4 linked regions of the Struthio camelus genome follow. The protein of the gene in region 4 purifies or fractionates together with the protein of the main gene of each other region. This does not show direct contact. Links are inferred from orthologs where the notes say so. Each region holds a gene or a part of one and is shown on either strand. Other genes may lie near its edges. The genes, in order: IQGAP1, DUSP16, OBSL1 and MAPK14.

Evidence for each region.
Region 1: the proteins of MAPK14 (region 4) and IQGAP1 purify together in Homo sapiens (affinity purification with mass spectrometry; 3 studies listed by BioGRID and IntAct, counting the BioPlex papers as one, with this or other methods). This does not show direct contact. The link is inferred for Struthio camelus from reciprocal best matches to the Homo sapiens genes MAPK14 and IQGAP1.
Region 2: the proteins of MAPK14 (region 4) and DUSP16 purify together in Homo sapiens (affinity purification with mass spectrometry; 7 studies listed by BioGRID and IntAct, counting the BioPlex papers as one, with this or other methods). This does not show direct contact. The link is inferred for Struthio camelus from reciprocal best matches to the Homo sapiens genes MAPK14 and DUSP16.
Region 3: the proteins of MAPK14 (region 4) and OBSL1 purify together in Homo sapiens (affinity purification with mass spectrometry; 6 studies listed by BioGRID and IntAct, counting the BioPlex papers as one, with this or other methods). This does not show direct contact. The link is inferred for Struthio camelus from reciprocal best matches to the Homo sapiens genes MAPK14 and OBSL1.

What each region holds. Positions count from the first base shown.
Region 1 is NC_090953.1:208,601-215,993, forward strand, and holds the start of IQGAP1 (ras GTPase-activating-like protein IQGAP1), read right to left. Parts: upstream 3,004-7,393; 5' UTR 2,894-3,003; coding exon 2,836-2,893; intron 1,338-2,835; coding exon 1,238-1,337; intron 1-1,237. UniProt on the Homo sapiens protein: Plays a crucial role in regulating the dynamics and assembly of the actin cytoskeleton.
Region 2 is NC_090942.1:81,362,745-81,370,421, forward strand, and holds the start of DUSP16 (dual specificity protein phosphatase 16), read right to left. Parts: upstream 3,013-7,677; 5' UTR 2,283-3,012; intron 2,213-2,282; exon of another isoform or gene 2,088-2,212; intron 1,951-2,087; exon of another isoform or gene 1,834-1,950; intron 1,475-1,833; exon of another isoform or gene 1,347-1,474; intron 1,023-1,346; 5' UTR 953-1,022; intron 1-952. UniProt on the Homo sapiens protein: Dual specificity protein phosphatase involved in the inactivation of MAP kinases. Dephosphorylates MAPK10 bound to ARRB2.
Region 3 is NC_090947.1:27,737,592-27,744,617, reverse strand, and holds the start of OBSL1 (obscurin-like protein 1), read right to left. Parts: upstream 3,018-7,026; coding exon 1,970-3,017; intron 518-1,969; coding exon 248-517; intron 53-247; coding exon 1-52. Other genes in the region: INHA (inhibin alpha chain), read left to right, coding at 5,994-6,360. UniProt on the Homo sapiens protein: Core component of the 3M complex, a complex required to regulate microtubule dynamics and genome integrity. It is unclear how the 3M complex regulates microtubules, it could act by controlling the level of a microtubule stabilizer.
Region 4 is NC_090965.1:4,986,649-4,993,988, reverse strand, and holds the start of MAPK14 (mitogen-activated protein kinase 14), read left to right. Parts: upstream 1-4,330; 5' UTR 4,331-4,574; coding exon 4,575-4,690; intron 4,691-7,340. Other genes in the region: SLC26A8 (testis anion transporter 1), read right to left, coding at 1,111-1,280. UniProt on the Homo sapiens protein: Serine/threonine kinase which acts as an essential component of the MAP kinase signal transduction pathway.

The sequences.
Region 1 (7,393 bases), on a different chromosome or scaffold from region 4:
AAGTCATGAGAAGAGATGACTGTCATGGAGGAAAACATTAGACAAACTAATCTGTTTCACTCCTATTCTTCACTTATAGCATGTAAGATCACTTGTTTGCAAAAGATTTAAAACTAGCAACAATAAGAATTTACACATTCATTTTTAATAGTTCCCTTCTCTTGACATAGCAGATACAGGTATCTACCCCCACACACCTCATGTTCACAGTGTATTTTCATTAATTGTCTGAATGAAGAAATACAGCATGCTTTCACACTTTATAAACGTGGAGATAACGCAGAAGAAGGAGGGGGCTACATGTATGCTGGAAGACAGGAATACATTCAAAATTATTTCAACACATTAAACAAAAAGGTCATGAAAAAACAGAATAATATTCAACAGGGTCAATTAAAAGGTAATAACACTTAGGAAAATGTAATTGGCTGCACAAACATAGGATGGGGAACAGACTTCATCAGCATGCCTTCAAGGAAAAGGATGGCAAGTCAGCAAAACTCTACCACATCATGCCATTATGAAAACCGAGATACCATGCTGGAACGCATGAACAACAGCATACCTAGCAGGATACACGAAATAATCCTTATGCTCTCATCAGCATGTTAATGCCCCAGTTGGAAAACTTCTTCCTGTTTTGGCAGTGCACTTCCAGAAAGACATGGATTAAGTGGAGAGATGTCAAGACAATCCAGGAGTAATGACCTCATCTATTAAATAGGACCCACAGGGAAACTCATATGAAAGAATTGGGTTTTTTTAGTCTAAGAGAAAAGAGCAAGGAAATACTTTGTAACAATTCAGATTTGTAAAAGGCTGCAGTGAAGAGAATAACCTGTTCTCCGTTTCTGTTGATAAGTAATGGCGTAATACCGCAGCAAGACATACACAGGTGGGATAGCAGGGAGGATCCTTCCAGTGTTAAGAATACGGAAGCACTGGAACAATTGCTGAAGGCGTAGCTATGGAGTCCCTGTCACAGAAGTCCTTAAGAACATATTATATAAGCACATCAGGAACGAGCTAGACAAAGTTGCATTTGCCCCTGTCAGGCAGAAAAATAGACTAGAGGTAGCCGCTAAAGGCCCTCGTAGGCTTTTTTTTTTTTTTTTTAAATGAATCTATATAGCTGCTCAGAAACACAGTCAAGAATAATTGCTATGAAATTATTCCACTTAACAAGTATCACAACTCTTTTTAATACACCAGCAGTTTCAAGCCCACTTATTCTTACCTCTTGGCTTCCTCCAGATGGCAAAGATATTCATAAGCCACGTTCTGGCGCCGTCTTTCATCCATCTCCTCCGCTGTTAACCTCTCATTATCCAGGACAGCTGCGAACAGTCAAACAGATTCTCAGGTTCTTGAGGATTGAATGCAAATGAACAGACAAACCAAAAACCAGATCCAACCTTTCCCACAGGAGCTCACTTTTATTTGATTCAGAAAACGAAGAACCAAATAAACAACAGAACAGAAAGTAAAGCTGAAGCTATCCCATTTCCTTACCCTTCCTCCCTTGCCAAATAAATGTCATTTTCCTTCTTTTGGATTTCTCCATTTGCTTCTGATCCAATTTTTTGCATCTTCCAATTTCCTATAAACAGCCCTTTCTCTTCTTATTTCCTTCTAGCTTTACCTTTCTCTTCCTAAAAAGTGCATCAGTGACCATGTCTCTCCACCTACCTTCTGATTTTGGTAATCAAAGATTAAAGGAGGACAGCGATATATCATCACACCATAAAATCCCTTTTATATAGTTATACTCAATCTCTAAAAGAGAGGGCAATGCTACTCATAATCCTCACCTGGAGAGGAAGCGTTCAGATCCACAACCTGTGCATCATGTTTGGATTGATCTGAGGACCTATTGAGGGGTGTATGCCTAAATCTTTCAGACTGTGTTCAAAGCCGCAGTGATACAGCCTGTCCTTTCCACTCTTACAACTAAACACCTCATCCATGCTCTTATGGGGAAAAAATGCACGTTCTTCGGTTTCAAGGAGTAGTTTGACGAATAGGAAACGTCTCTTACTACTGTTAATCAAAGGTTAGCTCACACCTAAAATGCCTTCATCAAATAAGTGTAACGACAAGGTATCAACTGCAGTATTGGGTCTCAAACAAAATTTTGCTTCAGACTGCCACGGGTCTCCTAGAGAACCGGTCCAGGGCATGCCAAAAGCCTCTTACTGCTTCAGCCTCTCCCAAAGTTACAAGGGCTGAAAGCTGTCACAAATCCCACGATAACAGCTACCAGCAGGGAGAATTCCTCTCCCCTCCCGGCCCCCGCCTCAGCGCTGCCTTCTCGAGCAGCGCGGGGCGGCCAGCGCTTCCGGCGGGCCCTGCCGCCGCCGCCCCTCACCGCAGCGCTGCAACTTCTCCGCCCTCACTGACTTTTGACGTGATAGCGCAGCACAAACTCTGACGCGTAGCACAAAACTCCAACGGGGGCTTAAACTAAAGCCTCCGTCCCCAAAGCGTAATTCCAACGCGCCCGGGTGCCTTCGCCGCAACCGGCGGTGAGGCCGGGAAGAGCAGGGCAGGGCAGGGCAGGGCAGGGCAGGGCAGGGCCCCGGCCGGCCGCCGCGCCGCGCCCACCGCGGCGGACATCTTGGGCGAGGCCCGGCCGCCCCCCGCCAGGCGGGGGCGCCGCAGCCGGGGTCAGCGCCGCCCGCCGCGCCCCAGCGTCGCCCGCGGACGAGGCCCCGCCGCTCCCTCCGGGCCCGCGGCGTCCCGGCCCCCGCGCGGGGACGAGCGGGGCGTCGCCAGGCAGGATGCTCCTCGGCGGCCGCCCGGCTCGGCCGAGCCCGGCCGCCTCTCGGTACTCACAGCCGTAGTGGGGCCGGGACACGGCCAGCCCGTCCACCTCCTCCGCCGCCGCCGCCATGGCGCTGCGCTGGGCCGCCCGGAGCTGCTGCGGGCGCGGCGGTTCCTCTTCCTGCCGCTCCGGGTGTGGCGGAGGAGGAGCCGCCGCCGCCGCTCCGCGCTCGCCCCCCGCTCCCCCCGCCCCGGCCGCGCCCCGGCCGCCTCCGCCGCGGCCGCAGCGAGGCGCTGCCCTGCCACGACCCCCCCGCGCCGCGCCGCGCCGCGGTCTGGGGCGCCGCCCGGGCAGCGTCCCCGCCGCGGCCGACCGGACCCGGCGCCCGGCTCGGCCCCGTCCCGCTGCCCTCAGCCCGGCGGACGCGGCGCGCCGCCCTCCCCCCGTCCCGCTGCCCACGCGCGGGGCGCCGCCGCCCGCCCCGCTCCCCCCCGGCGCTGCCCACGCGCGGGGCGCCGCCCCCCCCAGCCTTGCTCCCCCCCGGCGCTGCCCACGCGCGGGGCGCCGCCCCCCCCAGCCTTGCTCCCCCCCCGGCGCTGCCCACGCGCGGGGCGCCGCCCCCCCCCAGCCTTGCTCCCCCCCGGCGCTGCCCACGCGCGGGGCGCCGCCCCCCCCCAGCCTTGCTCCCCCCCGGCGCTGCCCACGCGCGGGGCGCCGCCCCCCCCCCAGCCTTGCTCCCCCCCGGCGCTGCCCACGCGCGGGGCGCCGCCCCCCCCCAGCCTTGCTCCCCCCGGCGCTGCCCACGCGCGGGGCGCCACCCCCCGGCCCCCCAGCCCCGCTCCCCCCCCCCCGGCGCTGCCCACAGGCATCAGCACTGGAGCTTCGCAGGGCTGGGCGCTGTAGAAAAACAGCAAAAAAGGAGACAGGTCTGATGTTAGAAAGTTTGTGCTCTGTGTTAGAAAAAGTGTGCTCCCGTATACTGATATAAATGGAACTGTTAATGGTAGTTGGATTTTGGAGACTCGTGGGAGGACTTCTTCATGAAAGATCATTCCTAATCAGCTTCAAAATGGACTATATGGCTCAGTAAAGGAAGGGAGGGAGGGGGGCGGCTGGGAATAGGACTGTGGGGGAGAGGGAAGACTGAACGGCAAGGAACCGTTTGCAAGTTCCTCTCGCCGCCGAGGGCGGGTTTGCAGTGCGAGGAGGTAAAGCAGCGGGAGGAAGCGTTCCCTCTCCAGCCAAGCCAGATTCGGTCTGTTGGCGCTGGTGGACCTGCTGAAGTACGTGACTGACCAACAGCTCACAGAGATGGAGAATATGTGGTATCTCACAATATTAATTTGTCCTTAAAACAACAGATACAAATCAATGTTAACGCAACACAGTGAACATCGGAAAAACAATACTAACACGCATATACAACGACAGGTTCTAATTTACCCATTACAGCTCAGGTGGGAGATCCTGGAGCTGAAAACTTCAGCTCAGTGCTGAGCAATGGTCCAAAGGCAAAGAGAATTTTGGAAATTATGAATAGTAGTATCTTGCAGCTAAGATAGTTTAAGGATATTCATGAGGTGAAATGACTTGCCTGACCACTTATATCAGTTGGTCTCCTAAAAGACAGTCATTCTCTCTGCAAGCCTTACTCCATAGTATTAGGAAAGAAATGCAGTAGTACAAAGCAGGAAACTTCATTTAGCCAGTGCATCCTGAATCCTGACTGAGACACTTATCTTGAATAGAGATGTGCCCAATTTGAAATATACCTCACTTTTGGTCATCCCCCCTTAAAAAATAATATAGGCGAACAAAAATAGGTACAGAGAAAGGCAACAATGAGGATCAGAACTACAGAAGGGCTTTCCTGTCAGAAGAGGATAACTAGCTAGGACACTGAGAGAGACCTGTGAGGAGAGAAAAGGGGCTTGAAAGAGATGCACAGAACATGAGAAGGAGACTAGGCAACATGTTTTCATTCCTTCTGACAAAACACACGTTAATCCCAAATTTAACCATAAAGCACTTTTAATCCAAACTAAAGGAAATGCCTTTTTACAAAGTATAACACTATAGAAATCAGTATGACATTATTTTGAAGACCAGAAGAAAAGGAGTTAGACAAATGCACAGAGGTTCATCAAAGGCTACTAAACAAACTGGTCTAGATGAAAGCTTGGGAAGATCATACGTCACTGGATGGCGGAGTAAGAAGGGACCTCTTTCCACGCATGCCTTATTTGTGCTCTCTATCTGTCCGTATTCTCAACAGATCAATATCAGACACAGGACCCTGGACTAAAGAGGCCTGTGATTTGATTCAGTGAGGCTGGGAGTTTTTGTTGTTGGTGGGTTTTTTTTTATGAAGAAACATGCAGGCAGTGATCCTGAGGAAGAACAAATTTTCCCATTAAGTATTGTTGAAAGAGACACTAATGAATGTAAGTAATGGGCTATAATGATGATAGTAATAATAATAAGTGATGGCAACAATTTTGTAAGACCATGACACCCCTCAGCTCTTAGTCAAAATGTTTGGTAACAGTTATAATTCTAATATTAATATTTATTTATATTACTTCATATGTGGCCACTCTGCAGTTATACAACGAGAAGACATTTTAAACAATGTTTCTATATAGACTGTGGAGTGCAGAACTGGTTTTGTTCCCCTAAAATCCCAGAATAATTTTTGCACATCTCCATAATCCTAGTGAAAAAAAAAATCATAAACTTGGTCTTGTCTATAAGACCCATTCTGACAAGAATAAAACAAGATTATCACACATTTGCAGTTTCAAAGTTTCTGGCTGAACCTCTTCAAGGTTATACTTGAATCGCTCCTGTAATGGCCCCACCGATCATTGTCTCTAAGATTTCTGGTCTTTGTTACTGTCTCTACTAACTGCTGTTTGTTAGGGTTTGTGTATCTTTGTGTTTAATTTATTGCCTCTCCTGTTTCTTGTCTTCTTTTTTTTTTTTTAATGTTGAATAGCCGCTAGCTAGATAGCCTTTCACAAAGCACTACAGAGGTACCTATTTTTCTCTAGTTTCACCGTTTTAGTTATCAATTCTGTACAAAATTTAATTATTCTTTATTTGGCCTTGACTGCCTAATCACCAGGCTTCCCTGAGGAAACGAGAGCTGCAAAACTCAGTCCTTTATTTAAACTACTGTTATCTGTTCCTTTGCAAGTATTTACTAGCCACTTTCTTTATCGAGAAAGATTATTTCTGTGAATGGTGCTGGGGGGAAAAAAACACAGATTACCTGAAGACTCTGAAGCTGCCATTCTGCAGTCGCTTCAAAATAACCTAGCTGCAGGCTGCCACTGAAACAGGGAATCTCTCATCTCTTGTATCCCCCTCCAAACATTATAGTATATACAACGATCCTGCCTGCCTTTCCAAAAAACCACATGGTCTCTTAGTCCAAAAAAGATTGGGAGATAATAGCATATTCAAACAATGTTCCACTGAAGAATTTCTCATGTATGTCCTCATTTCTGCCAAAGTAAAAGCTGAAGATGGAGTAGGATCTGCTCTAGGTCTCATTTAGCACTAAGAATTCCAAGCCATGACTTATGCTATGACACACAAACCCCTCAGAAAGCTGAGAGAACAGATGTCTTTTGCTGCTCTACACAACATCCTTCATTCTCCTGACTCGTCTCATCCGTAACAGTCATTCCTTAATACTGTTCTTTGCGCTTCAAGTATTCATAGACAATTGAGACCTTTCCCTTTAGATCTCATTTGTCCGGGATAGGTTTATTTAGGTCTGTAACAATGTTTAGATCCCTAATCATTTTTGCTGTCTTCTCTAATTACCCAGTTTAGCTACATGTTCCGTGTTAATGGGCCCAGACTGGCCTGCAGGAATCCAGGCACAATTGCGTCAGTTGAAAATATTTCTATGACTCCTACCCCTCACATATCTGATGATACTGTTTTGTATATGGTCATATGTCAGGCTGTGGCTGCACCAGATCAGAAACGTAGTGGCCAAATGAGACAAGTTGTTGCCCTGGTCTAAAAACGCAGTGCTGTTTCAAAACTGCACTCCCTCAGCCCTGGCCCTCCCATCCTTGTGGCAGGGAACTTTGCAAGAGGCTCTGGGAAAGCTGCAGAGGAAGTGGCTGCCCACTTGGGGGAGGAAGACATGGCCAGCCCCATACCACTTGCTTCTGCAGTGCCAGACCAGCCAGGCAAGACAGGTGAGTCTGGCTCACGATATGGGGTCTCCTCCATCCTATTTGTTTCCAGACTTGCTTTTGCATCCTGACCTCACTTCACACGGCCCAGCAGCCACCTGGGACGCAGCCCTGCATGCACACTCATGCACACGCATGCACACTGTCTGCAGTACTCCACAGGGAAGCCTGGAAGCAACATGACAGAAAAGCCCAGAGCCCAAGTACTGCCCACAGTCGTGGCACGGAGCTGGGATGCAGCCAGAGGCTGCTGGGCTGGCAGAGGAGCCCTCACTCTCCGGAGGCAAGCGAGCCATTCGGCACTCTGAGCTCCCACCATAAAACACTCCCCTTTCTTCCTGTAGCAGCGCAACATCAGCAAGCTTTGTACTGGAAAAGACTTCCTGAATTGGAAAGCTGTGCGCTTGCCCCC
Region 2 (7,677 bases), on a different chromosome or scaffold from region 4:
AACTGATTTTGTTCCATTAAATCTACTTAGGTAGCTAACAAAACCAGACCTACTGGAGTAGGACCTATTTATATATCTTTACATAACATGTTGGGTTTTAAAATGCTTGTTTGGCTTTCTGGACCTTTGCCCATGAATTAAACCATAGAGCATTTTTGCAGCTATCACCTCTAAATTAGCACAAGAACTGGCACCTTCTGTGCTTCTTTTACTTATTCGTTCATTTTAAAAGAGACATTAAAATTGAGTATTAACATATACTGAAGCACTAGTGCTTTAAACAAGCATAATAACCTGGGTTTACTACACCTCATACATTTTATAGATTCATTCCTAACGCTATTAATAAGCGTATTTAGTAAATGCAGGACTTGCTTTAGAATATCTTTGTATCTTCACTGATTAAAGCTAAAAATACATCTACAACCTCCCTGTTGCATATTTCCTCCAGATTCAAACAAAAAACCCAACCAACATAAACAACTGTGATTAATGCTTCAATTTCAAACGGGCAGCGAGATGAACACCATAAAAAGAAACTAAGACTTAATATTTTTCCACCTCCCCTCAAAACACTAGAGTCTAAATCAACTTCTGTCTGGTCAGTCGAGACTTTGTAAGTTCTGTCTCTACCAAACCACATGCTGCCAGGAATAGCATAAATCATAAAACAAGGAACACAAGATGATTTGGGGGTTTGGGATTTTTTTTTTTTAAATTACTGAAAGGCCCCCCAAAATTATCCTTACAAAGTGAAACAGTTAAAACTGCTTTTAGCTTTCAAAACGTGCACAGATGTATTTATTGGGTATACACATAATGTTTGAACAAAAAAAAGTTAGTCATAGGTCAGACAATAAAGCTTACTATGACTACACCCTTCACTTGAAGGAAAAGTGAGAGCTCAATTTCTGCTTTAGCCAACTGAAGAAAGAGAAGAAAGTGAATTTGCCTTGATTTTGTCTGCTACAAGCCAGCCTCCTACGGTCCCCTCCGACGTGCAACAAAACGCTTTCGGGAGGCTGAAAAAAAAAAAAAAATCCTACTATTGGTCAGGCTTTGCAAGAGGCACATCCCGTGCACCTTGTTCAGGACACACTGATGGGTAGCAGCATTTTCCTCGCCCCAGGGCTTTTACACACACACACACAGATCGGAAGGTAATCATCTGGCAGGCCGTGCTAGCGAAAGCCCCAGAACTACTGGTTTTCCAGATTACAGCACCAGGTTAACGTCTTCGCGAGGTGCTCTGCTCTCCGATTCCGCACCAGCCCTCCATTTTGTCAACCGACTCGATTTAAGCGCTTCCACCACCACCACCACCACCCCCCACCACCCCCCCTCACCCCAAGTTCACGGCAGGACCTGGAGGGGCCGGGGCCAGGCCATGCCCTGCGGGCCCGCCGCGCACCCCACCGCCTCGGCAGCCGACGCGCGCTCCCTGCCCGCCGGCCAGCGCCGCTCGCTCCCTTCTGAGGCACCAACCAGCGCGCGTCGCGCTGCAAATCCGCCGCCGCCGCCGCCGCCGCCGCCGCCGCCGCCCCCCTCCTCCTCCTCCTCCTCCTCCCCCCCCCCCAAAACATCCTTCCGCGGCTCGCTTCCAGCGCAAAAATTAAAGAAGGGGTCTGTCAGGCATCTCTTTTCAGCACCGGGCGGACTCCCCTGTGCCCGCGCGAAGGCAGCCCTGCTTTCTCCCCCCGCCTTTAAGACAAGGGGCAGGTGGACAGGTACTTTCCTAAAGGTAAATTTGGGGAGGAAGGAGGGGAAGAAGAGGCCAGGGCGCGGGGGCCTCCCCCCCCCCCAACCTCCCGGCGGCTCCCCCCTTCTCCTTACCCTATGGAGGGGGGGGGAAGGAGGAGGGAGGCAGCGGCAGCCGGAGCCGGCAGGGCCGGGGCCAGGCGCGACGACATGTGAGGCGCGGGCCGGCGGCTCGTCCTCGCCTCGCCTCCCCTCCGCTCCCCGCCCAGCCCGGCCCGGCCCGGCCCCCCCGCCTGCCCCCCGGCCGCCTGGGCCCCCCCGCCGGGGACACGGGGAGGCCGCTGCCCCCCACCTCCCCAAAACCCCGGTCCCGGCCCCCGAGGCGATACCACACAGCGGGTGACGGCAGCGGGGCAGGTCCCCGGCTCGCTTACTCCCCCCCCCCCCCGGGGCAAATGGGGGGGGGGGGTGTCCCCGGCGCCAGCTTCTCCCCTGCTTCTCCCTGCCCGACACTGACTGTTTTCACCTCCCCCCGCCCCGTCTCTAGTTTGTCCCCTTTGGTAGGAATAAAAGTTGCCACCAGCCTCTCTTCGCTGCTGCCAGAACCAACTTTGTCTCCTTCCAGCCGCTGGGAAAGCTCTTCTTTTTCCTTCTTCTTGAATAGTAATAATAATAATTTAAAAAAAAAACAAACTAAAAAACCATCTATTCTGGTCTTTTTAAGAGGGGGAAGCTTGAAGGTAGGAGGGGAGAGAAGCAGAAAAAGGAAACATTTGGAGGCTTTTTTTTTTCTCTCTCTCTCCTTCCCCCCTCCCCTCCGCGATGGCTTGAGAAATTTAAAAAGGGACAGTGATCCAGCGGGGGGGGGAAGAAGGACCGAAAAGCCAGGGAAAGGAAGAGAAAGTTGTTGGGTTTATTTTTTGTTCCCCTCCTAAAAAGCCTTAGGTTCCCTAAAGGAACCAAACAATCACTAATAAATGGTTAGAGCAAACAGACACAAGGAGGAGGCGGGGGGGGGGGAAGAGAAGAGTTTTGCTGGTCAGTAAACTTCAAGCTGCTGGGATGAGGTCATTGGTGTAAAAATAAAGCGATGGCGTCATTTGAAACCAATCCCAGTGAATGAACTCAGCCGGGGGGGGGGGGGGGGAGGTGGAGAGAGAGAGAGAAGGAGAAAGAGGAGGGAGGGGGGGGAGAGAGGATCCGAGCGAGGAGACAAGCGCGGCCCCGGCCCCGCCGGCTGGGGAGGCGGCAGCGGGGGCTCGGGCTACCACGCTGTCCCGGGGCCGGGGACAGGCGCTGCTCGCCCCCGCAGTCCCGTTTGAGTGCTCGGTTGCTGGGCCGGCCCCGGGGAGGAGCCACCCGAGGAGCCGCGGCGGCGGCGGCGGTGATGGCGGCCCTTCCCCCACCCGCCTTCGCGCCTCCTCGCGTCGCGTCGCGGCGGGTCGAGCTCGCCCTCGCCCTCCTGACGGGCCGCGCTTGCCCTCCTCCTCCTCCCTCCCTCGCCTCTCTGACGTCAACACCTCGCCGCCTGGCTTCTCCTTGACACCTCCTGCCTCACCGCGCGAGCCCCCTCGCCCACCCTGATGCCCAGTGGGGCGAAGGAGAGGGCCCTTCTGTCCCCAAAACGAGGGCCTGCGCCAGAAGGGAAGGAGGGTTTCGCCCCCTTCGCCGGCGCCCGTGCCCCCCATCCCTCGATGCGCTGGGGCCAGGCCTCCGCCACCCGCCCCGCGCTTCCCCCTCCGAGCGCGCGGGTGTGTGCCTGTGCGTACGCCGGGTGGCACGGAAAAGGGGTGACGCTGCTCAGCCGGCTTGTGGCTGGGCAGTAGGCGCTCCCGGTGGCTTCGTAGAAACTGTTGTCACCCTTCCAAAAGGAAGACGGAGATACGTGCGGTAGTCAAACCCTTAAGGCTTTGAATCCTTGGGCTGAGGCATGAGCTGATGCGCGCGGAGCGCTCCTTTGGCTGCACTGAAAGTTGAGGGCTTTCACCCTTTAAAGACCTTGTTAAATAATAACGGTAGTTTAAAAAGCAACTTGAAGAAAATGAAAATTATCTGAATAGTTAGATACACATAAACACAAGTGTTTTGTCTAATACATATTCATTCTGGCTAGTACAGACTTCAACAAAAAAGCTACACATACATACTTCAAGGATTTGATGGGACATATCTGCTCTTCCACAACCCTCTAAGTACTTCCAGACTAGTCTACAAAGCTTTTTTTTCTTTTGTTCCTCTCTCTCTCTCAAAGACACCCCTGATACCATCACAGATAATCACAGGTGCCATCACTAAGTAGTGTTTCCAGGTTCTGTTTGATATGCAGGAAGTCTTAAATGCCAGAATTCAAGAGCTCCATTTAGTCCTATCCTCTGTCTTTTGAATCCCCACGTGACAAACCCATAGAAGATGGCAGGCAGGAGAAAGAGTGTTAGACTTTCACTGCTGTCCCTTCAGATGAAGCGCCTTTGGAAAGACACATGACTGTTACCTGCAGTTTGTGTGCTGCACATTTTGGGAAGCAGGCAACTACAAAACAAATCATATGGAGGTTGTCCCTGTCCTGACAAAATTGACTGAAAACCACCTTGACAAAGGACCTGATTTTTAAACGCTGAGAGCTGTCTCTCATGAAGAAGCTTTGCTAGCACTTGTAACGGAACAGTAGCTTCCTCTGCAAGGGAGCGTGCATAATATATGGTAGCATAGTAGAGAGAAGTCTGAACTCCTTACAACACTTGGACCACAGAGTGACCAAAAGCAGTGAAGAAACTGTGGCAAAGTAATTTACAAAAGTACATTTACTATTTTGCATGTGTGTTTCTTGTAGTAGCTAAAGAGCAGTTTTGCCTTTTTGCCTTCATTACCAGTGGCCCTAAAAATATGTACTGCGACCCCCAAATACCCACGATACTGGAAGTCAGCACTGACCCATTTCTATGAAGGGGTACAGAGAGTGTGCCAAAGAAACTCAAGGAGAGAGCCAGTGCTACAGCTTATTTAGACCAGAAAAGTGCAAGAACAAATAGTTCCAGCATATTGTCCTCCCAAACGGAAGTGGGGCACAGCAGAAAGGGATACGTGTTGAAGAGGAAAGATACTTGAATTCTCTCTTTCCTTTTATCAGCAGGACCTGTTAACATGTTATGCAAGCGCTCTTTTTTTTTTTTTCCCTAATTGAGAGACTAAAAGAGTTTCCTCATTGTAAAAGTGTAAGAATAATAAGTACTTCTGGCCTTTTGGAATGTTTTTAATTTTTAACTGAAAAAGGATACACACACACACACACACACAAAAAAAAACCAACTAGGAGAGCAAATTAAAGTTTCTCCAATATCGAGTCAGGATTTTTTTCCTCATGTTATAAAGGGCGCAACTCAAACACGTTTGTGTCACAGTAACTCCTGCAGACTGAAGTTATTACTGGGAATAACTTTTTATTTTTAGTTGAGTTTGAGATGAAAGATGGATTTTGAGGGGTACGGTATGTTGTAACTGTGCCAGAAAGAGTATACTGTTTACAACAGGAAGGCTAACCCAAAGACACAAACAGAAGTCGTTTTAAGGGCTCAAACCAAAGAGCATCTGACCTTCATTAAGGTTAAAGGCAATGTGCTTTACCTTCTCTTTGCAAAGGGCTAAGAGTGCACATGTTGGCAGTTAACATGCTTCAACTGGCAGGTGGTCATTCGTGAAGGAGCAGTAATTTGTTTGCATGTCAGAGTCTAACTTCAGCCTAATTTTTTTTCGTGAAAGCCTTCCTTTCTCCTGTACCACTTGCACAGCAGGCTCCTGAGAATGGTTTGCGCTGCACTCCCAAACCAGAGATGGAGTCAGGCCATAGTTTTGTAAACACTTTAACCCAAGAAGCACCTGAATCATCTAGGAGAAAAACAGCCTGGCCTTGCCTGTGTCCCTGACTGCTAAGCTTCCCTCGCCAGCTGTTTAAAGATCTGACTATGTGAAATATGTTTTGCTAAATTTCTGGCAATGGACTTTTTTTTGGCTTTAGCACATAGCACTCACTGCCCCTTTGTGGCAAAGCAGTATTGAAGGAGTTACTGTCTTGTGCCTACTTATCAAGCTCACGAGATTAGAAGTCCTGAAGTGCCTACGTGGGGTAAAAGAAGGGCAAAAGACATTATGGTGGCTAACAGGCTATACAACAGTGTCTGAACTTTGACACGCCCTTGTGTCCTACAAGTTCACGTTCTGCTTCTGACGGAAGGAGTGACTGTGTGTTACTACTGCCTACCCCCGTTGCTGGAGAGAGCAATAGGTACTTTTGAGAACTACAGGTTATACGGCTTGTTTGCAAAGGTTTCTGCTTATTTATTTGTAAAAGCTAGCATGCCTGCCTTTTTGCTCCTTTTCCACCTAAAGGATTTTGTGGCGCTTCACTAGGTTAATCAGTTAGCAGTGATTAAATAGGGGAAAGATGAAAGACAGTTTGAACGACGTCATCAAGTTTTATGCACAGCAGGTTTTCCAAAGGAACCTATTGTGAAATAAGCGGGAACCGAGCTTAAAACACAGAGTTTACCATGCTTTAAAATCCCTGCATTGGTACTCACTTTCTCCACAGGCTAAAGTTGGGTTGCTGAAGGGGTTACCATTTCCAGCCAGCTCCCCAGTCACTGTCACAGCTGTCTTCTGCCAAAGGTTACTGCCTTTCCTACCTACCTACGAGCTACTCATGCAATTGCTCCCAAACTTGTTTCAGTCAAAGCCAACTGGAATAGCTTAAGCAGTTTAAATAGTAGATATCTGCTAAACTGGCTTCTTTTTGGCTGAAACCGATTAGGGGAAACCCAAATCAGCAAATGGGAAGTGAAGCGATGACCATTTCACAGACAGTTTCAGAGGTAGTTTAGCCTAATCGACTTTCAGAGCAGACTGCTATACCAGGCACAGCTGCTATAGACAGCTCTTTAGGGTATTTAAAATTGGAAGGGTTGCTGAGATACCTAACATGAAGTGTTTGTGGCATTCTGAGATACTACTAGCTTTGTTACTTGGAGCAGTGCAGGTTTGTGGGGGAGCAGCAATGGGAACCTTCCCTCCCCTCTTCCATTAGGATAATTGAAACAGGTAGAAATAGAAGATGTAGGACTGAGGGTGGGGAAAGAGCAGAAGAGAGAAAAAAGTTAGCAGATAAGGGTAGCTGAGAGATCCCAGAGCTCAGCCTAGAGAGAAAGGATTTCAGTAGGGTGAACAATACAGGCATCAGAGATGTAGGGTGGATAGTAGCAATGCTGGGGGGAAGAGAGGGTTTGAGAACAACTCGTATCTCCCCATTCTTCCTTTCAGTGCAGGCATTGGATCTCGGGAAGCTCTCTGGAAAATACTCAGATATGACTATTGTGTCGCTGCAAGTAGTTTTCATGCTTCTACTGCTCTCCTGAAGCTTCTCTGGGACTGCCAGATTCATAGCATATCAAAGAAGCTGGAGCTGGTGTGCAAGTGGAGGTCTAGGAAAAATGCAGATGTGTGTTTTTGAACTGCGAGGAAAAGTAGGACCAAGCAGGGCAATATTTTTGCTCTGTGGGATGATGGAGGAAGTATCAGAGGATTTAGAGCAGTAGAAGAGAAGTCAGCAATTGTAGGGAGAAATATAGAAACAGGAGCAGTAGGGAATATAGGGAAGAAGGAAGGAGAGTTATCAGCGTCAACTCTCTGCTTCCCTGTATCAGAAATCCCTTATCCATTAGTCAGTAAGAACTTACATGATCACGATGTTTGAACACCTTCTACCTTCATAAGCCTTCTGTGGGGCAGAGAAGTATGGATAAAAGACTGAGTTGCTGAGCTAAAGTAATTTATTCAAGGTAGTACAGCAAGGCAGTGGAGGAGAGAGCTGAATCAAGTTCTCCTAAATTCCAGATCTAACCACTAGCTCACCCGTTTTCCTCTCATCTTTCATCTTGCAAAAGAAAGGGTAACAGTTTTTACTTACCCAAGAAGTCCCATTTAGTAAAA
Region 3 (7,026 bases), on a different chromosome or scaffold from region 4:
TTCTCCCCCTCCATGACGTCCAGCTTCCGCGGCAACCTCTTCACGATCACCCCTGAGAAAAGGGCCAGGTGAGGGGTGGGGAGGGAGCAAGGGGCAGGAGAGGGGTAGAAGAAGTCTAGGAGGGGTAACAGCAGGCACGTGGAGGTGTGCGGGCAAAACAGTGGGAGGGCAGATGCAGGGGGCAGCAGGGAGCTGCCTGGCCTGGAGGGGGGAAGGTAGAGCTAGGGGAGCTGGGCCTGCCCCCCACCTCGGACGGAGACCTCAGCAACGCTGCGCCCCTTGTCCTTCATCTGGCAGAGGTAGATGCCGTCGTCGTCGGTGCGGGCGTCGCGGATGGTCAAGCGCCGCAGCACGCCGTGCTCCTCCATGACGTACTTGGGGCTGGGCTGGAGCTCCTTGTCCTCCAGGTACCAGGCGGTGGGAATGGTCTCCAGCGGCACATGGCACTCCAGCACGGCGTCCTCCCGCTCCTGCACCTCCACGTCCGCCAGCTGCACCTGGAAGCGCACGCGGTGCTCTGGAGCCAAGAGAGAGACGGGTGCTGAGGAGCGCACGGGGCCAGCACCCCCACCGCCACCACTCGGCCCCCTCCCCGTGCCCTATGCCAGCTCTCGCCGTCCTTTGGCCCTTTGCGCAAGGCTCTGCCAGCTTGAAAATAACACCAAACCCTGGGCCCCCCTGCCCCGCAGCCTCTCCTGGTCACTGGGGGCCAGTCCACAGCGCTGCTTGCCAGCAGTGGCCAAGCCCCCGCTCTCCGCCTTGACAAACGTCCCAGCTGGGACGCCTGCGCCTGCCCGGCTGCCAGCTCAGCTCAGCCCCGGGGACAGCATCGTCCCCGGCTTCCCCGGCTGTTCCTGGACACCACAGCAGACACCGCCACCGCCAGCCCGTCCCTCCAGGACGCTGGGGCATCCTCCCCCGGCCTCCGTCCGTGTCCTCCGGTCGGGCGAGGGCTCAGGCTGGATTTTCCCTGCCCTCGGCACAAGCCGGGCAGGTGTGGGCAGCACCCTGCCCTGCTCCCCACACGTGTCCCCGGCGAACACCCCCGGCGCTGGTCCGCACAGCCCCACGGGGTGGGAGAGGGCAGCGCGCTGCCCCTGGCCGCTATTTTGGGCCGCGGCAGCTGGGCGGGAGGCGTGCAGCAGGGTTGGAGCCAGACCCCCTCCCAGGAGGGGCCCTTCATGGTGCTGCAATGCCAAATGGCGCTGCAAAAGCCCCCGCTGCCTGTGACGGCCGCTGCCCCGGGGAGCGATTTCCCAGAGCGAGGGGAAACACGGCGCAGGTCAGCAAAGCCAGGCGATGCCGCCAGCACCTCAGCGGCGAGCTCCCGGGGATGCAGAAGCGTGCAGGGCAGCACGCCGCAGCAGGCGTCCGGGCAGGCGGCGCTGCGCGTGGGGTGGGTGCACGGCCGCCGGCGGGCTGGCAGCGGGGCAGCGCCAGGTGCTGCATCGCCCTCGGCGAGGGGCCGTCCTGGCATCCCCAGCTGGCAGCGGGGCTCCGTGCAGGCTTTGCCAGAGGGACGGGGCTGTCGCCAGCGCAGACGCTTGGTGCCGTGCCCTGCAAGGCTCCCAGCCAAAGCTGCTCTGCGCTTGCAGGGGAATTTGTCACCAGCATGTCGCGCCCCCTCCCTGCTCGCGGCCTGACACGCGCAGCCCCCTAGAAACATCACCCCTCTGCTTACAAGGAGAGGGGCATGGCGGGGGGACAAACACGGGAGCTACCAGCCCCTGGGGCAGCCCAGCAGCCCACGCCTGCCGCTGGCCCCGTCTCGACAGACCCCAGAGGCGCCCCGGCCCCCGCGCGCCCCCAGGCCTGCCCGAGCCCCTGGGAGGGGAGCCCAGCAGCGCTTGCTCAGCCCGCGTGCCCTGACATGCACGTGCACGCGCAGATGCGCCCCTGCTAGGCAAACAGCCCCAAAAGCACACCCGCAGCCCCCCGCAGCCCCGGCGGCCCGTGGGCCGGTACCTACCCTTCACCTGGAGCTGCACAGCGCTGAGGGTCTGGCCGGCCGTGTTGGAGGCGGTGCAGATGTACAGCCCCTGGTCCTGGGGCTTGCAGTACAGCACCTTGAGGATGAAGTAGCCCTCCCTGTCCTCGTAGACGAGGTGCCTGCGCCCCGGGGTGACGGGCTTCCCGTCCTTCTTCCAGACGATCTCCGGCTTGGGCTTGCCGGTCACGTAGCAGCGAAACTTGGCGTGCTTCCCCGCGCTCACGGCGAACGCCTTGGCGCCCGGCACGCCGGCAGGCACCTCACCGTTGGGCAGCGCCCAGCCCTCGGGCACGGTGCTCTGGACGGCGGCGTGCCGGCGGCGGTGCTGCTGCCGCTCTCCCGGCTGCTCCAGGCCGTTCCCGGGGGACCCGCGGGATCGCTCGTCTGGCAGCCCCGGCGCCAGGGGCTCGACCAGGAGCACGGCCGCAGCCAGGGCTTCCCGGGAGCCGCTCCGCGCCCGGCACACGTAGACCCCCCCGTCCGGGGGCCGAGCGCTGAACAGCTTCAGGAAGTGCCAGTCTTCAGGCTCCTTCCCCACCGAGAAATGACTGCTCTCAAAGAGGTCGGAGAGCTCGTGCCCATCCTTCTCCCAGTGCAGCACCGGGCAGGGCTGCCCTGACACCCTGCAGGTGAACATCACGTCCTCCCCCCGGCACACCCGCATCGACGAAGGCCGGACCAGGAAGACGGGTGGCTTGTTTTCATGGTCTCCCTCCTCCTGGGGCTCCCCGGCCTCCACTTTGAGTGTGGCAGCAGCATAGGTCTCGCCAACGTTGTTCTTGGCCTTGCAGACGTAGAGCCCGCTGTCCTCCGGGGTCACTCGGGAGACCAGCAGGCTGTAGACATTGCCCTTGGCCTCCACATGGAAGCGGCCTGACGGTTCGATCGGGGTCCTGTCCTTCTCCCAGAGGATGCTGGGGCGGGGGTCGCCCGCGATCTGGCACTTCAGGACGGCGTCAGCGCCGTTTTGCACCGTGAAAGTGCGCGGGTAGGCCAGGAACCTGGGTGCTCCTGCAAACCCGTCCATCCCGGCCTCCCCGGCCTCACAGCGGGCAGCTCAGCGGGACAGCAACGGGGATCATCAACCTGGAGCGATGCACGGACAGACCGGGGCTGGGGTGAGGCTCCAGCTACGGCCCTGGTGCGGGGCACCTCCGGGAGGCACCCCCTGCGCCCCGCGAGCACAGCAGGAGCACTGCATCTCCTCCCCTCGCTCCGAGCCCCCTGCCCCACTGGGCTGCAGGGACACGGGCTGCCCCAAGCCCTCCCGGGGGCGGCGGGGGCCTGAGCCAGGATGCCAGCGCCCCACGAACATGCTGTTTGCCTGACTTGGCGCTTCCCTGAATATGCTCCAGCCTCAGCCCAAACCAGCCATTTTTCTGCCCAACAGCCGTGGGAAAGGTGGCAGAAGACAGTGCTTCGTGCCCCAAGGTGCCTACAGCCCCGGCTGTATATGCGTACAGACAGGACCCCCAGCTCCAGGAGCACAGGGCCCCTGGCTGGATGGGGCACGGGAGCGAAGGCAGCTCCACGCGGGGTGCCGGGGACGGGAGATGGGGCAGGGGCTGGGGCCGAGGCAGGAAGGGCCCCAGCCCCGGCCGTCCCCACCCGCGGGGGCATTCCTGCGGTATCGGGTGGTGGCAGAGCCACATTCCTGCAGCATCTGGGCTGGCTCAGGCGCAGGTGCTGATAAGGGGCTGTCATGGCGGGGGGCGGGGGGGAATCCGGCCGGATCCGGGTGCTTTCTCCCCGGCTCAGCAGGACAGGGAAGCAGGGCTCCCAGCAGAGCTCCCTGCCTGGGGCAAAGAGGGGCTCCCCACGGAGAGGAGGTCCCTGCTCCAGAGCGTGGCTGCAAAGGCAGGATCCCCCACCCCAGCCATTAGGTATCAAAAGCCGTAACTCTAAATGAAATAACCAGGCGCTCAAGCCCCAGGGGTGCAGAGGGAACGCTGTAGGGACCGATCCTGCTGCCAGGCAGCCAAGACACCGACTCGACCCCCAGCCCCGCAGGTGACAATATCCATCATCACAGGCTGGAGAGCGGCAGCGTGGTCTCTCTGCCTGGCCTCTGCCCACACCGTCACCGGGGCTGGGGGCAGAGGTGTCTCTGCACTGCTCAGGCAGGGCAGGACATGGGGAGAGAGAAGCCAAGATACTGCCTGAGCGAAAGGGCAGGGGAGGGTGGGACGGGGCCGGGGTCCCCAAGAAGGAGGGACCAGGGCCAGATTCTCCTCCCAAACCTCTACCTGCAGGCAATGCATTCATTCAGTGAGGCATTCCCGGCCAGATGCTCCTCTAGTCCCACGGGCTGCCCCAACAGCAGCTCCCACAGACAGGCACAGCCCCGACGGCTTGGCCACTCTGCTACTCCCCTCCAGCTGCCCCCGTGTCCCCCCGATCCCCCTGCCCCACGCAGCCCCCACACCACAGTCCCCTGCCCCACACACGTACCTCACTCCTTCGCCTCTTCCCTGTGTCTCCCAGCACCGGCACCCAGCTCCTGCTGCCTCCCCCAGCTCTGCTCCTGGACGTCAGCATGCAGGGACCAAACGTTACAAATGCCTGCAGCTGCTGTCCCCAAAAATACCCTCTGATGACACATTGGGCTGATAAGACTGAGCCTGCTCCATTCAGTGCCTTGGCTGGGAAGGGCTGGCCTATGTATAGCGCCCCAGCAGGAGAGCGGCCCTGCCTGGAGTGGGGAGACAGTCCTTGACCTCCAGGGCTCCAGCGTTCGGCAGGCTCAATGGTGCCACGGTGTGGGGTCAGCCTGCCGCAGGAGAAAACACATTGTGTGGGACCCAGGCTGAACAAAGATGGGACATGCCACCCGGGACATGCTGCATGGGACACACCACATGGGAGGGGATATGCCACAGGGGATGCACTGCATGGGATGCCAGGCTGCAGCGAGATGGGACACACCATATGAGACACACTGCATGGGATGCCAGGCTGCAGCGGGATGGGATGTGCCACACAGGATGCACTGCATGGGACACTGGGCTGCTGCAGGAGTGGGCTGGCACAAAAGCTGCATCCCACCATGCAGACACGCAGGATTCCTGGAGACAAGACTCCTGGACACCAGACTCCTGTCACTGTCCCTGCAGGCAGCCGCAGGAAGAAGGGCAGGATGCACTGGGGGGGGGAGGGGGTCCCCTCACAGCCAGCTGCCATCAGGCAGCTCCAGCTCCCAGGAGCAAGTCTGCAGCCAGGCAACCCAAAGGGCACTGTGGCCTCTTTCACCTGGTGCTACTGTAGGGTCTCCAGCTGGCTCAGCTCTGCCTCACTTCTTCCTCCTCCAACTCCATCGCAGGCTGGCCCAGCCTTTCCCTGGCCACTGCCTGTCCCAGGCTGCACGGGGTCCTTTTCCCATCCCTCCTGCTTCGTATCACGGGACCTTGTCAGCCGCCTCCTGCCCACCACAGGCTGCCCTGGAGATGCCGCAGTTCCCCCTTCCCCAATCTGTCCTTCCTCGGGCTCCCTCCTCATGTCCCTGCTCCCCAACGACCTCGAGGTGACCAAGACATCTCCAGCACAAGCATGCCCAGCCTGCCACCCCTAAAGTCCCTCCCCACATCTGGGCCTCACAAGGTTCTGGACCACATTAGGTGTCTGCCCAGGTTTCATCACCCAGCACAGCCACCATCACCTCCCCCTGTGCCCCCAGAAGCCCTGAGCCCGCAGCTCCCTCACCCTGCTCCAGCATGGGGACACCCCACACCGGCAGCTGCCACGCTCGCCCCAGGGTGCCCCTCCATCCACACTGGCACAGCAAAGCCTTCACGGCAGCACGCTGCCTGCAGCCTGGCCTCCCCCAGCCCCGTGCACCCACTGCCCCGGCAGCATCACCCCCGCGCCCCCCTCCCTGGGCGCCTTCCCCCCCCCCCAGACCACACTGTCCTTGCAGTCCTTGCATTCCAGACGTCTCAGCGCTTTCGCTGCCCAGAGATAATATTCACGGCGAGCAGACGTTTGCGTCAGTGTCAGATACGTCTCAATGCCACCGTGCCCCAGGCGGCGCGCAGTGGGCAGACGGGCTGGGCTTGCAGGCAGGCACCCACGGCAGAGCCCCCCGAGCAGCCGGCCCACCGCACGCCCCGCGGCCATGCTGCTCCTCTTGCACCTGCTGCCAGCCATGCTGCCCCCCGCCGCCCTGGCCGCCTGCACCGGCGCTGGCGCCGACCGGCAGCTCATCCTGGCCAAGGTCCGGGCACGGGTGCTGGAGCATCTGAGCCCCCCTGCACCCCAGGAGGGGCCCCGGCAGGAGGGGAGGAAGATGCATCGGAGAGACGTCCTGGAGACCCCAGAAGTCCCACACGAGGAGCTGGAGGACACCTCCCAGGTGATCCTCTTCCCATCCACAGGTGAGAAAGCCCCTGTGAGGATGGAGAGGGCAGAAGAGCTAAGCTGGGCTGGTGGGTCAGGGCATCAAGCATGCAGCAGGACTATGATGCTGGTGTGGGACAGAGGAAGCAGGTAAGCCAGGCTGGGACGTAGGGGTGGCTGAAATGTGACGGAGAGCCATGAGGCGGAAGGGGAAGGCAGGCAGGGGTAGGCAGGTCAGCCCAGGACCCGGCAGGGAGAGGGGCAGAGGGCAGGTGAGGGGCACAAGAGGCAGGCCAGGGTGCTGACAGCTAGACAGGCTGGGGACTGCCTGAGCCAGCTGGGATGCAGAGAGACGGAGAGGGATGAGGAGAGGACAGGGCAGGATGCTAGGGGACAGGGCAGGACACTAAGGGACAGGGGCAGGATGGAAAGGGATGGGGGCAGGATGCTAGGGGACTGAGCAGCACTAACGGATCAGCCTAGGGTGCAGAGGGGCACAGCTGGCCTCCCGCCAGGGCTCAGCCTGCCCCGGCCCCAGGGAGCTGCTTGCTGCACAGCCCTGGCTGTCCCCCGGGCAGATCTTGCCGCTTGGCCGGGAGCGGGGGGCAGAACGGCCTCCCCACTGGGACAGCAACCCACGCTGGGCACACTGGGACCCCCTCTCCGCCCCACACCCCATGGGAGCCTCCAGCAAGCCTCTGCCA
Region 4 (7,340 bases):
GCTATACAGAAGGAGGGAGGTCTGACTCCCTGTCTTTCCCTGCGCGGTCCTGTCCCTTCTGGCTGCAGCAAGCTGTTGCAGCAAGCTCACCACATCTTGTGGAAGCTCACCCATGGCTAGCCTTGGTCTCAAGTCCTGCCACAGACCCAGAAAAACGCTTTATGTTTCAGTATACATTTTAGTTCTTGTGAACTGCTGAAAGAAAGCTCGGATAAATGACGAATCAGAGATTTTGTATTTGCTTTCTTATGAGGACTGTGCAGAGTAGACACAGCCATAACCATTGCCAGTCCACTCAGGATCCAAAGAAAGAAAACAGAGTATTCACAATTAAACAAAACTGAAAGGGAAACTGATGAAAGAGCTTCCTATTTTTGATTATATCTGCCTTGCTGGAAGAACATCAGGAATTCTCATATGCTGCCAAATGAGACTGCCTTCTGGCGTGCCTGCAGCCTGCAGGGCTCCTCTGGAAGAAGAGCTGCTTCTAACCCCAGTACAATGCCCAAAAGAGAATCTTGGCAGATAATGTCCCAGAATGGGAAAACCAGGCTGCTGAAGCATTAGTGCTATATCGGTGCGCTTGCCTCACCCCATTATTCTCAAAGAACACAGGAACACAGCTCCAAAATAAAGGAAAAGCACTTCAGTCAATCTCAGTCTTACCATTATGCAACTATCCATGTTCCCAACTAAGAAGGAACAGAAAATGGGTCTTGAAATGTAAGAAACAAAAGTAGCAAAAAACACAAACCAGAGAAAGCAGATGCAAGCTTGCGTATTGCAGCTGGGCAAAGGGAAGCGCTGGAGGGGACCGAAACTATTGGCAGTTTCTCTCTACAGTGCATCTATCCCTCGTGCTATCAGAGTCCTCAAGTGAACAGAAACTTTTGCAGACTGCAAATAGCCGCTTTCATAGTGCAGTGCTAAGCTGATCTCTCATGCTTCAGGTGTGAGTTGCCAGAACTGGGTGTTCTGCTTCAGTTATCAATCAACACACTTCAGCATTTTAATTGCCAGCAGTGGAAAGTTAGCGCCTTTTATTGCACTTGGGCTTGAAGAGTCTCCTTAGTTTCTTCGCATCTACCAAATTCCCTGCATATAACTCACCTGCATTGGAGCCGTCGGTGGACTCGAGGAATTTGTATTTCTCCACACAAGGTAGAGGAGAGGTTTCTTTCAAAGTAGGTCTGGAAGTGCTCCTCAGTTTGTATTTCTCTTTGGACCCTGTATACTGTTGGTTGTCTATCTGCCCTAACGATATCATCGTCTAGCTCCATATAGTCCTTCTGATCATGGACAGTCAAAACCGGAGGAACAGCAAATGCTGGAAGCCAAAATCAAAGAGCTTGTTCTTGGCACTAGGGCTAAAGGAAAGAAACAGGGTCATTGACTGAAGTCTCGCTTAAAAACCAAAACAATAAAAAGCATAATATGTGATCAGCCCATCCCAGCATAACTCCTGTGGAACCAATAGTCAACGCAGGGATAAGCAAGGCTTTGGAGACTGAAATCCATGAAGGACCTGCTGCTCTTAGGATCAGATAAATCAATCGCCAAATCACTCTCAGCAATACTGGGTCCTTCTGGAACCGGGCTTGTTCCAACTCTGTGGGAAGGACCAGCCTGGATCCCCTCCATTTTGTGATCCCAAAATCAGGCCTGTGTTTAGAAAACTGGATCCCGTCCCCCTCCGCAACCCAACTGCAGCTGGGGAACCAGTTCTAAATCTCCTCGTTTCTAGCCCTGGAGGAAAAAGATCTAGATTTGAATCATACAGGGAGCAGCTAAATCTGAGTTGCAGCATATAAACGCTGTGTAAAATCTATATTTGATACAGTTCAGGTTTTATAATCCTCAGAATGTCTGACTCCTATTCCTTAGTATTTTAATACCAGGAAGGAGATTTGAGTTCAATCTCTGTCACTCAGCGTAGGTAAGACGTGAGCTCCCTAAGGGAATACCGAGTAAGCAAAGGTCCACTGCAAGACAGGATCTGAGGCAAAGATCTTATACAGACAGCCGAGGCAAAAAAAAGATTCAAATCCAGAATTTCCAAGTGAAAGTACAGAGATTACACAAAAAGCAGGGTGATGACACATAGTAACATATAGGGAAAGAGGAAATATTAAAAGGCTGTGAGTTAGCAGTAGGACTCTATTCAGAATGTAGTCCAACTGTAGCAGAACTTGTAACAAAAAAAATGCATTGGGATTAAAGTTTCCTCTTCTTATTTCATTTCCTGAACTGCCAGGATCAGTGTACAGGCCTAGCGGTTTGCATCACTGAGCCATGCTACTTCTCATACAGCAACAGGGACTCTTGACACTGACTTTCCTGTCTTGTGAGACACAGCCACAGACGTGTACACACACCCCAGTCATTCTAAACCCCAGAAAGAGCTGGTGGTAGGAGAGTCTCAAACACACTCCATCATTAGGGCACAGTTCCTCCCTCTTCTTACAGAGAAGATAAATCTAGGTCTTCCACAGATAGATTTAAGAGCCATTTGTGTTCGTTTGATCTTCAGACCCAGTACAAGTTTTTAAAGCCTTACCTATTTTTGACATCTTTGAGCACAAGCACCTTTTCAAGATAAAATAACACAAGCAGCAAAACCAACAAGAGGCTAGAGTCTGCCGATGAAAGGCATTAAAAAGCCCAGCATGCCACAAAGTAAGTTACCTTTTAGACACAAGCAGTGGTCAAGTTCAGCTCTTGTTCACTCCTGTTATTTGGACTTCAACGGTGACTCATAGAGGCAGAGGACAGGGTCCCATTTTGTTAGGCTGTGTAGAGAACAAGAAGGTTTTTGACATGGGAAGCCGCCGTTTTAAAAGCAAGTTCCAGGCAGAACGTGCCTGTCTCGCACAGTATTGCGAACAAAACTCATCTTCCTCAAGCTTGAGATCCAACGGCAAAGGGCCTTATACTCAAATCCCTAACACTCTTTTATTTGCTGTGCAATTCTGTACTTACAACCTGGTGAAAACACGATGGGCTCCACTTCAAAACATGCTTAGCCTGCAGCACCTAGTGATTTCAATGTCTTAGGCGCACGCTTGAAAGTAGGCACGCACCCATCTTTGATAGCGTAAGGCAATATTACAGTACTCAGAAAATTCTCTATACGAATACAGAACTGGGAAATCTAGACAGAGATGGCTTTGTTCTCCCCATTACTGCTGGTGTAAAGCCCCTAGAAGGGGACAAAGTGCACTTGCGGGGACTACAAGGCAACCAAGACTGGCTTGCAGGACTCCAGAAGCACCAGACCTATGGGCAGCTCCAGAAAGGTCTCGATGGGCGCTTACTCCCCAGCGACCCTGCCATGTTAATCAGGGCCTGCAGAAATGCTGCGGGAAGTAAGTTTATTCATCGATTTTCCTTTTCTTTCTATTTCAAGCACGCCCTAAGGGCAACTGGGCAGCAAAGAGCGAAGGGGGGGTGTGCTCATGAAAACGCGAAGCAGGGGCAGCACTCGTGGAATTTTAGCTTTTTGGCAGCGGCCAAGGGTTATCCGGGGCCTCGGGCCCGGCCAGCCCGGTGCTGTGGGGGGCGGAGCCGGGGGGGCACCCAGGCCCCCCCCAGCACACCGCCCCCGCCCCGCCCCCTCGACGTCACCGGCGCCCTCCGCCAGGCCCCGCCCCCCTCCCGCTCTCGCGAGAAGACCCCCGCGCTGGTTCCATATTGGGTCATCTCTGCCCTGGGCGCCCCCAGCTCTCGCGAGAGCGGCCGTGCCGAGCGATTGGGCCCCAGCGTGCCGGGGAGGGGGGCGGCGGTCGCCTCAGCGCAGCCGGGGCTGTGCTGCGCTGCGCGGGGCGGAGCGGGCGGCCAGGCAGGGGGTGGGGGCAGTCGCCGTGGTGTCGCCGTCACCGTCCTACCTGCGACGGGCGTGTCCTTCTCCCCCCCCCCCCACACACCGCCACCACCGCCCCGTCTGTTGGCCCTGCGCCCCGCTGGCTGCCGGCGGGACGAGCCCCGCCGCGGCCCGCCTCACCTCACGGGGCTATCCCGCCGCTGGCGGCGCGGGGCGGGCGGCGAGGCAGCCGGGCGGCAGAGCAGGGCGAGGCGAGGACGGGGCGAGGGCACCAGGTGGGCGCGCGGCGGCTCCCAACGCCCGGGCGCGAGCGCCCCTCCCCTCCCTCCGCCGCCGCCGCCGCCGCCTTCCCCGCCCGTCAGCTCGGCGCGCGCGCCCGCTCCTTCCCCCTCAGCGCGGTGGTTGGGGGGGGGGGGGTCGGTGAACCGCCCGCGCGAGGCCTCTCGCCCCCCCCCCCCCCCCGTCGGGCGGGAGGGGGCAGCAGCGGCGCGAGGCGAGGGGGCGCGCGCGGGCGGGCGGGGCGGCGGCGGCCAACGGTCGGCGGCGTGAGGGGACGGCGGCGGCGGAGGAGAGGGCGTTGCTGCTGCACGGCTGCCTCCGCCCGCTGGAGAAGCGAGGCGGGGAGAGGGAAGAAGGAAGGAAGAAGCCGCTGCTGCTGCTGGAGGTGGCGGCGGCGGTGGTAGTGCTGCTGCTGCAACCGCGGGCAGAGCCTCCCCCTCCCGCCGGGCCGGGCGGGGCGGGCTCCGGAGCCGAGATGTCTCAGGAGCGGCCCAAGTTTTACCGACAGGAGCTGAACAAGACGGTCTGGGAGGTGCCCGAGCGCTACCAGAACCTCTCCCCGGTCGGCTCCGGGGCCTACGGTTCCGTCTGGTGAGTCCCGGGAGGGGGCAGAGCGTGGGTGTGCAGAGGGGGACGCGTCAGGCCGGTGCTTGGGCCCCTGCCCCGTCGTGCTGCGGCGCCGCGTGAGGGCGAGGAGGGCTGCCGTGCCGCCGCGGGGCTCTGCCGTGCCGGCTCCCCGCTGGCAGACCTGCCCCGGCTCGTAGGGACCCGCGGCAATAACGCGTGCAGGGCGCTCGTCGGCGAAAGCAAGCCCAGCGGAGGGGGTTTGCTTGGGGGTCCTTCTCCCCCGGCTCGGCTCAGCCTCCGCCAAGAAACACTCTTCTCCGTGGTTTCATAGCGATACTGCTGGGGAGGCACTGTCTTGTCTTTGGAATGCGTCGGATTGCACCACATGGCAGGTGGCACTAAAACATTTTTGCAGGGGGAGATAATCATGTCCCAGCACCCCCCACCCCAGCATGATCTCATATAGACATTTTTCACCGTGCCTTCTTCCAGTTACTAGGTAGGGGGTGGAAAAGGATGGAGGCTGGTAAGTCCCTGATAGCTGGCTTTGCAGAGCTGAGGGCCTGGCAGCTCTTGTTCCATTTTTTTTTTTTTTTTTTTTGCTGGACTGGAAGGATAGATCATCTATAAGGCAATTGCATTTTTAACTGAGATCTGCTGGTCGGCAGAGATGATGGCAGGAGGGCTATAAGGGCTATTTTTGCATCCCCGACTTGTAACAGCAGGTTTATGATTATCAGTGTTATTTTCCTGGTGATGGTAGATCAATGCGGGAAAACTTGTTCTCTTGCTGTAAAATGACAGAATTACTGCAATATGCGCTGCCTGGAAGAGCAAAGTCCTAGTATCAGGCTTGCAGAAACGTGGAGAATTTGGAAGTGAAGAGAGTTTAGTTTTTAATGCTTACCTACTACAAACAAAATGTATGACAGGTTACACATGCTAAATACAACAACGCTCCCTTCATTTGTAGTTCCTCTACTAAAGGATGTTGGCCCATTAAACCTAAGTTAATTGGGCTGCATTCATCACTTAAAGAAAATAAACTTGAATCAGTTTGACACCTAGACTTTAGCAATTGTATAATGGAGTCATATAAAAGTATTCATAAATTACTGTGTCCTTTTATTAAGAAATTTCTCTAATATGAATATTCTACTTTCTACTCTCTGTTCTTTTGCTCCATCAAACTATGATCAGAATTTTCTAATGCGGGCGCGTAATGCTTTGCTGCTGTATTTGAGCAGACATGCATATTTTTTCTTTAACATAATGTACAAATTGATATCAATATCATTTATGTATCATATTATGAATACCATAAAGAGGCATGCATACTGAACTGTACTAATAAAGAGTTGTTTTGCATGTGCTGCGGTTTTAAAGAAATAGAATTCTGTGCTGTTTTTAATATAGTAAGTTTAAGATAACAATGGTTTATAAAATTGCCAGTAAGTTCTGTTTAAATAACGCGTATTCTTAAAATTGTTATTCCCCAAGGGTTTAAACACATTTCATAAAAGGCAAAGGTTAAACCATTCTAGTAGCAAGATTAACTGAACGTACTCACTGAGTTTTTTATAGTAGAAAGATTTAGTTCTGTTGAAGAAGGGCCTGACTGCCCTAGTTGATAGATACCCCTTTAACTGCTCAGAGTTTCATTACTCACGGAAAAATAATAGGAAGTTAATTTGCTGAATGCCTTGTCCATTGTATTTTTAAGGTTTACCCAACACAATCTAACCCCTTCCTTTTGTCTTTTCCCCCTCCCCACAATCTCCATTGTGCTTGTAATACTTCCAATGTTTGTTTTCACAACCAATAACTGAAGAGTTTGCATCATGAATTTCCTGTTTTGTTGTGTCAAAACTTTCAAAGATTGTGCAACTGCATGCAGGCCAGATGAAACAATTTTTCATTGGAAGCAATTTCAGACATGTGGCACATTGAGTCTTAATACTGTCCATGTTGATGTTTTTCTCCTAAAAATACATATTTCAGAAAAGATGCGGTTTGGAAAGGCTAGTAATATAGAAAGTATGTCCGGATTAAAATAAAAATGGCATATATAATTTTCTTTTATCTGTAATATTGTTAAACTGCAAATGGTGATGCATGATATTTATGATATTCCTAAGACGCCTTGTTGCATTCTCTGTCCTTTTAGAGATTTTTCTCTTTCTTCCTCTTCCCCCTCCTTTTCCAGGAAAAAGTTATCTAGTTTCATTTGAGACTTTTTGTTGGGAGCACATGTATGCTGGGATAGTAAATTGCAGCGTTTTAGCCACCCCTAAACTGGATGGTTAAACATACGTCCCGGGATGTCTACTGCGTTATTGTGTTAGAATATAATAGGATGTTCTGTTGTTTATTTACCTACCAAGGTGAAAGAGTTAAAAGTGAGAAATTTCTGGAGAGTAGGGGGAAAAAGTTAATAAATAAATAATAGAGCCAGGAAATAAATCATTTAGACTACGGCGCTGTCTGCTGTAAGCTACTTTAAATGTTTAGTTTAAGTATGGCTTAGAGCACCTGTAGATAAGAACCTGACTTTATTTTGAAGTCAGTGGAGAGCGAGAGAGAGGGGCGTTTTCTTCAGGCAACTTAAGGCACCCAAGTCACATGCTTAAAGTCAGAGCAAATATTCCAATATTTTCTGAAGTGTTGTGTGCAG